Daphnia pulex: one gene and its partners. The protein of the gene in region 1 binds, or shares a complex with, the protein of each later gene. Links are inferred from orthologs where the notes say so. Each region holds a gene or a part of one and is shown on either strand. Other genes may lie near its edges.

Region 1 (3,212 bases):
CGTACTATTCGCCTAAACTTAAAATTTTTACACTTACCATTTTCAGACTCTTTTCGACTCGATCCAGAAAGATGGCTCCGGACATCATGGAAATGCTGCAGGTGGATCCAGTGATTCGAACATGGATTTAAGTTAAAGTGGTGTATAATTATGTATCTATTATCGAAAAAATCGGATCGGGGAATTGTCACGAATGAAACATTGTTTCGTTCTTTTCTTTGAAATGTCTATGGTGGATGAAAGGGAAGTAGGGGTACATGTATTAACCATTCTTCTTGAACGGATGCGTTGAACATTGTTTAAGTTCAGTTCCACTACGATGCACTTTTCAGCACGGTGTGTATCTTTTTCTGAGAAAAAAAGATCTGTTGCGTTATTTCATCTTTTCCCCCATGTCATTTTAGATATTCAAAATCGAGAAATACAACTTTCCTGCAAAATGTTAATCGTATTTAATGTTCAAAACCTAAATTTGGTGAACATCGTTTATACAAGATAAGAACCACTTACATAGTACAAATGATAAATGTATTTCGCTCACCATGAAAGCTTTTCAACGTTGCTTCACAAATCCAAGAAACCGAGATAACGGTCGTTATGAAAAACTGCGTAATATTAGAAGGGAAAAAAATTGGCGCTGGTAGATTTTTCTACATTTCATACCCGTTCAGGACAGAACACAACTGCTCTTTTCGTTTCCATTACTGCTATCTGCTTTCTCCATTTCCGTTATCAGTCGGTTAAAAATTTCGCAGACAGACTAGAGATGAAAGGAAAAAAAAAAAAATTCTTAATAGAAAGTACAATTTCAAATCTCCAAATGAATATTAATCAGCATACCTCGTGTGACCTAGCAGAAACTTCATAAAATGAGGCTTTCCAAGTGTCGGCAAGCCTTTTGCCCTCTTCTGTGCTGACTACTCTTTCACGGTGAAGGTCTGTTTTATTACCAACAATAACAAGAGGTATTCTATAGTGATGAAAAGAAACTGGTTGTCAGACATAAAATTATTGAGTGATGAAATGCTACCTTAGAGAAACTTACGTGATTTTACCAGTCATATCCATAATCTTTTCTAGCAAAACTTGTAACAGCTCAAAGCTTTGAACTGAAGTAATGGAATATACAAGTACATAACCATGCATGTCCATTGAATGTTGAGCTGGGAAAATAGCATATTCATCTTGACCAGCAGTATCCACCAACTTTAGCTCAAAATCTTGCCCTCTTACTTTCCATGGTTTGGTGAAGGCTGGATTTCAGTCAAGACAAAACAAAAATTAAACAGTGTTCCTTTACAACACAAACAAGGAGCATACTGTTTTCAATTGTAGGGTCATAAGAATCAACAAATTGATTTTCAACAAATTGGATGGTCAGTGAAGATTTTCCTAGGTAAATGAAAATTATAAAAAATAATCTAACATGATCTTTCAACTGCAACAACTTACCAACTGAGCGGTAGCCCATAATTGCAATCTTCCTCTGTTTTCTTTGAGGTGGCATGTTGGACTAGTATTTCCCAAGTTATGCAAGTATGTATGGCGAGTGCTTCTTACGTCATGCACTACAAAATACAAACAACACTTATATTTCAAAGCATATACTTTCAATAAGGAATGGTGAAAGAAATCAATGGCCACCACTTGCAACAGCATTTAAAAAATATTTTCATAAGGTACTTCATTAAGTTCATTATAAATACCAAGTAAGTTTAATACCTTCTTGTTCTGTGCTGCTAAAACGTTTCCTTTTAGATTTTTCTTTTGCAATACAAGAAAAGATTTTTACGGATCAAAATAACGTGTTTTCTGTTTAGTTAGTTGGACAGCTTCTTTACTGATTACAGCGTTGCAACAAGTACTGTTGTGGAGATAACAAATATGCGTATAAAATTTAAATAAAATATAAATAAATTAGAGTTTAAATTATAAATTTATAATACGCATCTTAAATGAACTTTACACTCAAATCTAAATAATATTACATGTAAAAAATACCAAACAGAGACTCCGTCTATAGCGACTGTCCCAAACAAGTTTTTTACTATGCTCTGCAAACTGTTTTGTTTTTCTGAACTTACAGATCGAGCGCTAGATGGCGAGCAAACTTCTGCACGTGAATCAGCACACACTGAAACAGTTTGCCGAAGGTTTGCACGTGATCAGCACACGCCGAATCGTGGCAAGTCGAAAATGGTAATTTCAATGCCAGATATTACCAAAGCCGAAACTGTAAATGGAAAAACTTACCATGAGAATTTCGTCAAACTAATTCGATTTCGTTAATCCTTCTTATTGCACAACTGAATGAGCCCTAGACATTATGAACTTTCATGTCCTTCGGGGAAGACCAATTGGTATCATGTGGTCACAGCATGGAGTATGCAGAGACATGATCACTTGGCTATGCCTACGTCAATTTCCAACAACCAGCTGATGCTAAGATAACAATAGTGAGTGAAGACTTATCGTTTATCCTTCTTATCGTACAACTGAATGAGCCCTTAGTCTACTGTATTGATTAAGTGAAAGTTGAGGAGTTGAAAAATTTTATTTGTTTAGTAGCAATGCAGTAGTACAATTTCTGTGTTTTATTTCAATTTGAAGTAAAATTATTCGTAATTGCGCCTACGGTGTTGTATGTCCAGTTTGCTTTCTCGCTGGCGACGTTGATGTTCTTCTCTTAGTTGTTCTCATCTATTATCTTCATCATTTTGACGCTCGAACTGACGACGCGGATCAATTTGTGGCTCCCGTTGTTGTTGAGAGTCCCGTTGTTGTTGAGAGTCCCGTTGTTGTTGCTCCCTTAGTTGTTGTTGCTCCCTTAGTTGTGGCTCCCGTAGAATGAGACGTGGTGGTTGTAGGACAAATCGTGTTTGTTGTGGTTGTTGTTGTAGGGAGTATAGATTTTGTTGAGGAATGTTATGGGGCGGTTGAGGAGTGTGTTGAGGCAAATACTGAAAAAAGTTGAAAAGGTCGGCGAGTAATGGAGGGAGCACAAACATGAGCATATGGAGTACTGGCACTGTACACAGTACCGCAGTCAGTATTTTGGAGGGACCGGGCAGGAGCGGCCGGAAAAAGGATGACCAACAAGAAGAACAAAAAAGACGGGCAACGTCATCGCCACAGCAACGCAAAGTGGAGTTTAACGCCAAAAAATTCCGCATGTACACAAAAAAAAAAAATGAAAAATAGAAGAAAAATAG
Region 2 (4,016 bases), on another chromosome or scaffold:
TTATTTTTTACTTGTTTGAGCAAATTTCTCAAGAGCAATTAATGAAAACAGTACTACTGGTGGGTGGTTTGATGGATCCTAAAAGATATACATTGTTGAAAATAAAGTGAGACCAAAGATTGATTGTCAGACATACCAGGTTGGCTATAAGGTAATCCAATGTGCTGTCAGTTAGCAAAGCAACACTTGTAGGCCCAGCCAATTTTTCAGCAATGCAGCCCAATGCAATACAAATATTCCTGTGACGATTAGGATCTGATCTTCCCCTTTTACTAGCTTTAGCTGACAGCCAAAACATCCGGGGGACTTTAGTAATGGAATCCTGAAAAAAAAATGGTGAAAATTTAACCTAGCAACAATGTCTAACATATGATTAAAATCTTACCTTTGCTGGTAAGGCACAGTCATCTAGCACCAGAGTGATGACAGCAGGTCCAAGGGGTTCATTAATGGGTATTACATTAACCATGGAATGTAGAACAAGCAACCAACCATGCCCTTTGTTAGAAAGAGCTTGTAATCTTAACATTGAAGGAGGTGTTTCTTGATCACTAAACAAAGAAGGAATAATTAAAGTGGATACATAGGAACATATAATAAAAACATACTTTTCAACTAAATTTCCTATGACAGCTAATGTCTGCAAAACAAGACTGTCAATATGGGGTAGCATTCGCCTCAAGTGTGAGGCCTCAGATGCTGGTATAACATGAGATGGGAAACTTCTGTCTCTATCAACTGAAATATTAGATTGCAGTGGACTTGGGAGGCTGGCAGTTTCTGGTTGAGGCACTGAGAGAGAGGGTAGTTCCCCATCCTTTTCGTCACAACATAAGCATTGTCCCATTTTTAACTGCTTCAGTGGAAATTAAATTTGAACATGTTATTTGAGAGAGATCGTCACTATTCAAACGTGCAATTTGATCTCCATCTTAGTTAAGTTTATAAGTGGGTGTATATGGATTGACCAGGAATGGATTTGACGTTGTTCAACAATTAATTTCAGTAGCACTATTTAACCATGTTATAAATATGGATGGTAATCTAGTATTGAGAAATTCGATGAAAAAGGTATCGTCTGCTGCTTATAACGCGAACATAGATATCCGCTAGGGGCGCTTATAGGAGAGCCATCCTTTCACCGGACATCTAATAGTATCTAATGCCTAATGAGGAGTAACACAATTTGGAGTTTTCTTTTTCTTCCGTCAGATGTCGAAGTCCACAAGTTTGTTTATTAAAATAAGTCATACTGATACTGTAAAGTCTAATTAGTAATTACACGTTGTGGAATTCGCGTATTGCATATTCTTTTTAAAATAAGGCTTATCTTTTTTTGTCGAAGACAAAGAGTTATTTGATTGAATGGAAAAATAACATATAGTGTCCAATTTCAATTTTCGCTAGCGGGGTACGAGGTGATTGGCGACAGTTGACTTTGAATGTTTTCGAACTACTCCTTTGAGTTGTTGCTGATTATGCATTGAATTTATATCAACTGCTTCCTTTATTTTATCCTTTTTATTTATTTCAGTTACAGAATGGCAACCGGAATGATGCAAACATTCATCACTGGGCTTAGATCCAGAAGTGAAGATTTGAGACTAAAGGCTGCCCGAGATTTACACCATTATGTAAGAGAAGGATAAAGAGCTAAATGTTTAAGAAGGAAATAATATAGAATTGTTTTAATGTTGTCTTAATTTGTTTAGGTGACATCTGAGTTAAGAGAGGCATTGCAGGAAGATGTAATTTCATTTGTTGATGATTTGAATCACCATATATTTGACATGGTGTCCAGCTCAGATGTCAATGAAAAGAAAGGTGGCATTCTAGCCATAGTTAGTTTATTGCAAGTAGATGTTGGAAATACCAATGCCAGAATGACTAGATTTGCCAACTATTTGAAAAACTTACTTCCATCTCAGGATGTAGTTGTAATGGAGTTAACTGCAAGGGCACTTGGAAAATTGACACTGGCAAGTTAAACAAAAATCTAAATAGCCTCTACACATAATTAAAACAGATGATAAATATAGATATGCAATTTTTAATAAAACAGGTATCAGGAAGCTACACCGCGGAGTATGTGGAATTTGAAGTAAAACGAGCCTTTGAGTGGCTCAGTGGCGAGAGAAATGAAGGTCGTAGGCATGCAGCGGTAAGTTAAAAATAACATCATTAACGATATGTTGATACCATAAGTTTTAACTCAATTTCTCACAGGTGCTGGTTTTGCGAGAATTGGCTTTATCCATGCCAACTTTCTTTTTCCAGCAAGTCCAGACTTTTTTTGACGTTATTTTTTATGCTGTTCGGGACTCCAAACCAATGATTCGAGAAGGCGCAGTTGCTGCTTTACGCTCTGCTTTAGTCGTCACATCTCAGCGAGAAACTAAAGAAGCTCAAAAGCCTACTTGGTAATAAACAAGCTTGTACAAGTTTAACACATAAAGATATAGTATTAACCATTAATTAGGTATAAACAATGCTTTGACGAGGCCCAACAAGGTTTTGAGGAACCGTTAGCCAAAGATAAAGGACTAACAAAGGACGACAGAGCTCATGGATCTCTTTTGGTTCTTCAAGAGCTTCTACGTTGTTCGAATGCAGAGGGTGAACGACTTCTCGCTGAACTAGAGCAATTAAATTTACTACATTCACAGACTGTTCAGGTTGAATATGCCGATCTTTGTATGACCTGAGCAAATGCGATAATTCTCAATGATTTTTTACCAAAGGATTCTCTAATTTCTACAACTTCCCGAGTGTTGCCGAACGGTGCTGTTGAATTAATCAACACTCCTACACTTTACAATAATCTCCGGCTTTTGCCAGGGCATGTCGCTCAATCAAGGATAGCCAGCGCCGTGTCACCACTATCGATAGTTGCGCCCCAGCAGGTGATTTATAAAATTGATCGCAATACTTCCACTTACCTGAACGAATTTTCTATACAAACAGTACCCTATAGTTGAAAGCGCTGCATGCCGCCAATTGACTGCTGATCATTTTGATGAAATTTGTGCCAACACTCTTCGACATAGCATCTCAAAAAGCAGCCATGTACAAGCAGCTTTGATGGGAATTCTGCCTAGACTGGCTGCCTATGATCGAACCCGATTTTCTGATAGGTATTAAATTTTTGGAAAATTTCTTAAAATGACAAATGACCATACATACTTAATTTCCCCAGGTATTTGGGCCCTTCGATGAGCTACTTGATGGCGTGTTTGACCCGCAAAGAAAAAAATCCTCACCTTGCAATGATAACTATAGGTTATATAGCAGTGTGTATTGAAGGGGATATTGCCACACATCTCCCTGGCATTATTAGTTTTGTTCGGACTTCTCTACCTCAAAATAAAGTAGAGAAACTAAAGAGTGTAAAGAAGAAAAATTCTTTAATTTTCGAAACTTCTCCAAACTAGGACCCATCTTCTACCAAAAAACGCTCCAGTCCCCCTGATATTGCTGTTTTCGTCTGTCTAAGTCTGCTTGGCCGAGCCGTTGGTCGTTCTCATCTAACTAGTGAGTTCAAGGATCTACTGGATCCCATGCTGTCCGTTGGACTTAGTCCTGCCCTGACAACTTGTCTTCGTGAACTGGCCTTGAGAATTCCTCATCTTAAAAAAGACATTGCCGAAGGACTCTTGCGGATGCTTTCACTAGTTTTGATGCACCAACCACTTCGTCATCCAGGCATGGTTTTATTTTAAACAACGAATTTGGAAAAGTACATTCTACTTGAATTAATTTATCCATTCTATTTTAGGAATGCCAAAACATCATATGGCGCTCACTCCAGTGGCACTTCAACCACTACCATCGAATGGGGATGACGTCAATAGCATCGTTTTAGCTCTAAGAACGTTGGGGAGTTTTGATTTTCAAGGTTAAAAAACCAATTTATTTAAAATTCAATGAACGAGAGACGCAGATTTTTCAACATAATTTTGTTTGTGTCGCTAGGTCAACCACTACTTTTACAATTTGTTCGCCATTGTGCCGACAAC
Region 3 (3,334 bases), on another chromosome or scaffold:
CACTCCAACCGAGAAAAAGGCGCGTCGAGATGTCATACGAACCCTACGATCTCATCGTCGACCTCAGCTTTCATCTTGGAATGTCGTTGAGACCACATCCCCCGCTCGCTCCTGTAACTTACGGAAACAGTTGTTTGTCGATACTGATTCACTTTCTAACTCTGCAAATTTTTCATCGAGTCCATTGGCCCTGTACCTTTCTCCTGATACTGAAAAAGATACTCCCAAATTCTCTTCGCCCGATGGCCCATCACCTGCCTCATCTAGAAAATCTTCTAGGAAAAGTTCCACGTCAGAAAATAAAAAAACTAAATCGCCTGTCAATGAAAATAATGAAGAAAGTTACACTGAATTGAAGAAGTCGATCGAAGGCAACCTAATGGGATGCGAGGCAAGTCTGTCAGATGTTGAGCTAATGGATGAGATTGAGTCGAGCATCAATATGGACAATGATGTCATTTTTGTCGAATCGACATATAAAACAGATGATCATGCGGAAATTGAATTTATTATCCCGGAATCATTTCCTGTTATCTATCAGGATGCCAAACTTGATGAATCATCGAAATCATCTATTCATTCTGCCAACAAGAAAACACTAAGTCGATCATCACAGGAAGAACGTAGAAGAAGCTCACGATTAGCTGGTATACCTTTACCTCTAATATACTCAACTGAACCACTGCCAGACTGTCGAAGGTCGATCACCTCTAAAAGGACACCACTTCAGCAGCTCACTTCTTCAAAAGATAACGAAGTTCTATCCTCTTCTAAGAAGAAACTGCGGGCTGAATCTGTTGATGACCTACCGATACAGCCAATTACGAAAGAAACACCAATTGCAGAAGCAACTCCTCCTTCACAACTGGATGATCGTCGACAGACGGCGAGTTGGAAACAGGTTCGTTTGCAAATTCCACCTTGCTGGGCCGATCTTATTGAAAACCACATCAAAGAAAATCATCCGGACGAGAAGCTCTGGTACCAAGAAGAAGCATCTGCGCGCTGGCCAATTGTTTATTGCAACTGTGCCCAATCCAAGAGAGATTAGATTTCCCGCAACCGCTGGCTTAATCTTTTGTCAAATAGAGAAATCATCTATTGCAACAGAAGTGACAAGTATTTTTTTTTTTTTTTTGATAATTCCATATCAATTTTTGTGCAACAGAAGTGTCAATCTGCCACACCCCTATTTGGTTCTGTGTTCAGTTTTATTTTTTCGCGTATCCCATATTTCTTTTCGTATAAGATGAGAAACAATGGGTCCAATTATATTTTGGTTTACATTCGGTTTATTTCCAATCCAGCAATAAAACTCGTTCAATTTCTAAAACTTTCTTTCATGAGTCATGACTTTGCATTTTGGTATCGCAATACAACCATGTGGCAACGTCTAATGGAATTTCTTCTTATACTCTCGTCTATTGGTTTTTTGTTGACATCAAGAGAGTTGTTACTTGGCCGAGTACCCGGTGGCGGCTCTATATATATAATACGACTTTGTATTGATCCAAGATACCAATCAATTATCCTTATACAGAAAGTTTTACCCCATCTGTGTGTGTGCGGTTGGTCGGCATATACACTTTTGAAAGCGAACTCGTCCGAATCGGGCCTGCAGTCCAAGTGCTGCAAAATTGTATATTGAATAAGGGATACGTTGAGGTGGTCGCCGTCGTCCTCGTGTCGACTGGCCTGCGATTGAGAAGATCTGGAATCGAACGTAATGCCTTCCAAAGCCGAAGACATACTGTCGGGATTCAGAGTGTAAGTTGGTTTTGTCTCTTGGTTGTTTTCATATTTTGGAAATTAATTTAATTTATCTCATCTTGCAGGAACTGGATGAGTCTACGAGAAGTAGACACCGGGAAACTGCTGTGGCAAAACTCTGATGATTTGTGAGTTCTACTATATATCAATTTTAAAATTAGAAAGAAATAATCTATAATATGCTTTTTGACACTTTGTTTCAGGTCCCAGCCTGATGTTGAACATGAAGCCCGAGTACCCAAAAGTATTTTGAATTGCAGAGCCGTTTCAAGGGAAATTAACTTTTCCTCAATAGAACCCCTCGAAAACTTTCGACTGGAACAGAAAGTCCTTTTCAAGGTAGGAGTTTCCCATTTTTGATTTCGTGTTATAAAAACATGTGAGAATCAGAGAAATCTGAAACTGGATGTGTTGTGTTGAACTATAGGGAAGAGCATTAGAAGAGTGGACATTTGATTTTGGATTCGTCATCCCAAACTCCACAAACACCTGGCAATCAATAATTGAGGCTGCACCAGAATCACAAATGATGCCTGCACAAATTTTAAAGTAAAACAAAATTTATGCATTCTTAAATCAATTTGATAGAGAAATTAAAGCCAAAATTATTTTTTTGTTTTGTGCAGTGGAAATGTGACTATCGAAACCAAATTCTACGATGACACCCTTCTAGTCTCAACATCAAAAGTGAGGCTGTTCTACGTCTGACCCGATCTCTGCGTTTTTTCCCATTATTTTGTCGTCTCTTCATTTCACGTTCTCCTGTTACGTCCTTATGGCGATGGAAATAAGCGAAAACCGGCATTTTGAAGCGCTTTTTTACACAGTCTACACGTCGTGTGCCATCTCCTAACGCACCGATTTCGATTCGGTGCGACATCGCTACAATTCCGCTCACACACAAAGCTACACACGCTATTTGTTCGCGATCACCTGCCATACTTCTCGGTCAATATCTCATTTGCTGCTGCCGCTGTTATTCCTGCGCTCCACATTTTACCCGTTGACTGTCGGTACTACATAATAAAAAGACGATTCAATCGGTGTATAAAACTGGGAGCTCATGTTTATCCTTCGCGATCGGGATTTCTGATTTTAGGTAGATGCACCCATGCTATCGAAACATGACGGTCCCGTTTCAATGGGTGAGTCGGCGTTGTGTTGTGCGGGTACATCAGGCAAAGTGGATGTCGTTATTGAGCGGATTATAGTGATCTACTGCGTTGCCCACGTCTTCTGCATCTGCCTCTACTTGACATGGATAGCCATCCAAAATGCAATTATATCCCTACCCCCAGCCTCTCTCTCTCTCTCCCATCTCTTTCTAGTCGATAATTAGATTTCCTCGAGCTCTCCTACTTGTCTGTGTTCCTCGAGCTATGGTTGACTAGTAAATTACATGTCCAGCGGTGTAGAGCACAGTACTCGGTCGTGGGTCAGCCAGCCCCCCCCCCCCTTTTTATGGGGCGATATTTGAATTATTAGAGTGCGGAGAGGATGTGTATTATAGTAGATGGGGTGGGGGGTATCAGGGGAAAGATGCATAAGTGTGTGTCCGTGTGAG

What was found.
Region 2: the proteins of GTP-binding protein Rheb-like (region 1) and serine/threonine-protein kinase mTOR-like are in contact, whole or in part, in a cryo-EM structure (PDB 6BCU), measured with the Homo sapiens proteins. The link is inferred for Daphnia pulex from reciprocal best matches to the Homo sapiens genes RHEB and MTOR. Residues at the interface, in NP_005605.1 of Homo sapiens: Lys5, Ser6, Arg7, Lys8, Arg15, Pro37, Ile39, Glu40, Thr42, Gln57, Ala62, Asp65, Tyr67, Ile69, Gln72, Thr73, Ser75, Ile76, Asp77, Asn79, Asp105, Met106, Val107, Gly108, Lys109, Val110, Ile112; in NP_001373429.1 of Homo sapiens: Arg62, His69, Glu73, Ala101, Thr102, Ile104, Gly105, Arg106, Asn109, Tyr110, Arg112, Asn113, Phe140, Glu143, Tyr144, Phe147, Glu154, Arg160, Thr969, Gln973, Phe977, Lys980, Glu1010, Phe1011, Gln1014, Met1018, Ser1050, Thr1051, Asn1264, Lys1293.
Region 3: the proteins of GTP-binding protein Rheb-like (region 1) and retinal rod rhodopsin-sensitive cGMP 3',5'-cyclic phosphodiesterase subunit delta-like are in contact, whole or in part, in a crystal structure (PDB 3T5G), measured with the Homo sapiens proteins. The link is inferred for Daphnia pulex from reciprocal best matches to the Homo sapiens genes RHEB and PDE6D. Residues at the interface, in NP_005605.1 of Homo sapiens: Pro2, Gln3, Ser4, Gln57, Asp77, Gln176, Gly177, Lys178, Ser179, Ser180, Cys181; in NP_002592.1 of Homo sapiens: Ile53, Leu54, Cys56, Val59, Val80, Gln85, Cys86, Leu87, Glu88, Glu89, Trp90, Ile109, Glu110, Ala111, Ala112, Pro113, Gln116, Met117, Met118, Leu123, Tyr149.

What each region holds. Positions count from the first base shown.
Region 1 is NC_060021.1:5,206,263-5,209,474, reverse strand, and holds GTP-binding protein Rheb-like, read right to left. Parts: upstream 1,865-3,212; 5' UTR 1,723-1,864; exon of another isoform or gene 1,707-1,722; intron 1,647-1,706; 5' UTR 1,508-1,646; coding exon 1,453-1,507; intron 1,393-1,452; coding exon 1,321-1,392; intron 1,254-1,320; coding exon 1,046-1,253; intron 971-1,045; coding exon 841-970; intron 761-840; coding exon 668-760; 3' UTR 512-667; downstream 1-511. Other genes in the region: cullin-associated NEDD8-dissociated protein 1-like, read left to right, coding at 47-136. UniProt on the Homo sapiens protein: Small GTPase that acts as an allosteric activator of the canonical mTORC1 complex, an evolutionarily conserved central nutrient sensor that stimulates anabolic reactions and macromolecule biosynthesis to promote cellular biomass generation and growth.
Region 2 is NC_060027.1:5,106,151-5,110,166, forward strand, and holds the start of serine/threonine-protein kinase mTOR-like, read left to right. Parts: upstream 1-1,205; 5' UTR 1,206-1,418; intron 1,419-1,534; 5' UTR 1,535-1,541; coding exon 1,542-1,634; intron 1,635-1,712; coding exon 1,713-1,979; intron 1,980-2,062; coding exon 2,063-2,161; intron 2,162-2,226; coding exon 2,227-2,420; intron 2,421-2,479; coding exon 2,480-2,675; intron 2,676-2,741; coding exon 2,742-2,903; intron 2,904-2,964; coding exon 2,965-3,134; intron 3,135-3,196; coding exon 3,197-3,368; intron 3,369-3,431; coding exon 3,432-3,702; intron 3,703-3,775; coding exon 3,776-3,895; intron 3,896-3,972; coding exon 3,973-4,016. Other genes in the region: RING finger and SPRY domain-containing protein 1-like, read right to left, coding at 12-78, 137-322, 386-551, 609-847. UniProt on the Homo sapiens protein: Serine/threonine protein kinase which is a central regulator of cellular metabolism, growth and survival in response to hormones, growth factors, nutrients, energy and stress signals.
Region 3 is NC_060018.1:861,829-865,162, forward strand, and holds retinal rod rhodopsin-sensitive cGMP 3',5'-cyclic phosphodiesterase subunit delta-like, read left to right. Parts: upstream 1-1,424; 5' UTR 1,425-1,726; coding exon 1,727-1,767; intron 1,768-1,835; coding exon 1,836-1,898; intron 1,899-1,973; coding exon 1,974-2,109; intron 2,110-2,197; coding exon 2,198-2,319; intron 2,320-2,396; coding exon 2,397-2,478; 3' UTR 2,479-2,823; downstream 2,824-3,334. Other genes in the region: uncharacterized protein LOC124188871, read left to right, coding at 1-1,051. UniProt on the Homo sapiens protein: Promotes the release of prenylated target proteins from cellular membranes. Modulates the activity of prenylated or palmitoylated Ras family members by regulating their subcellular location.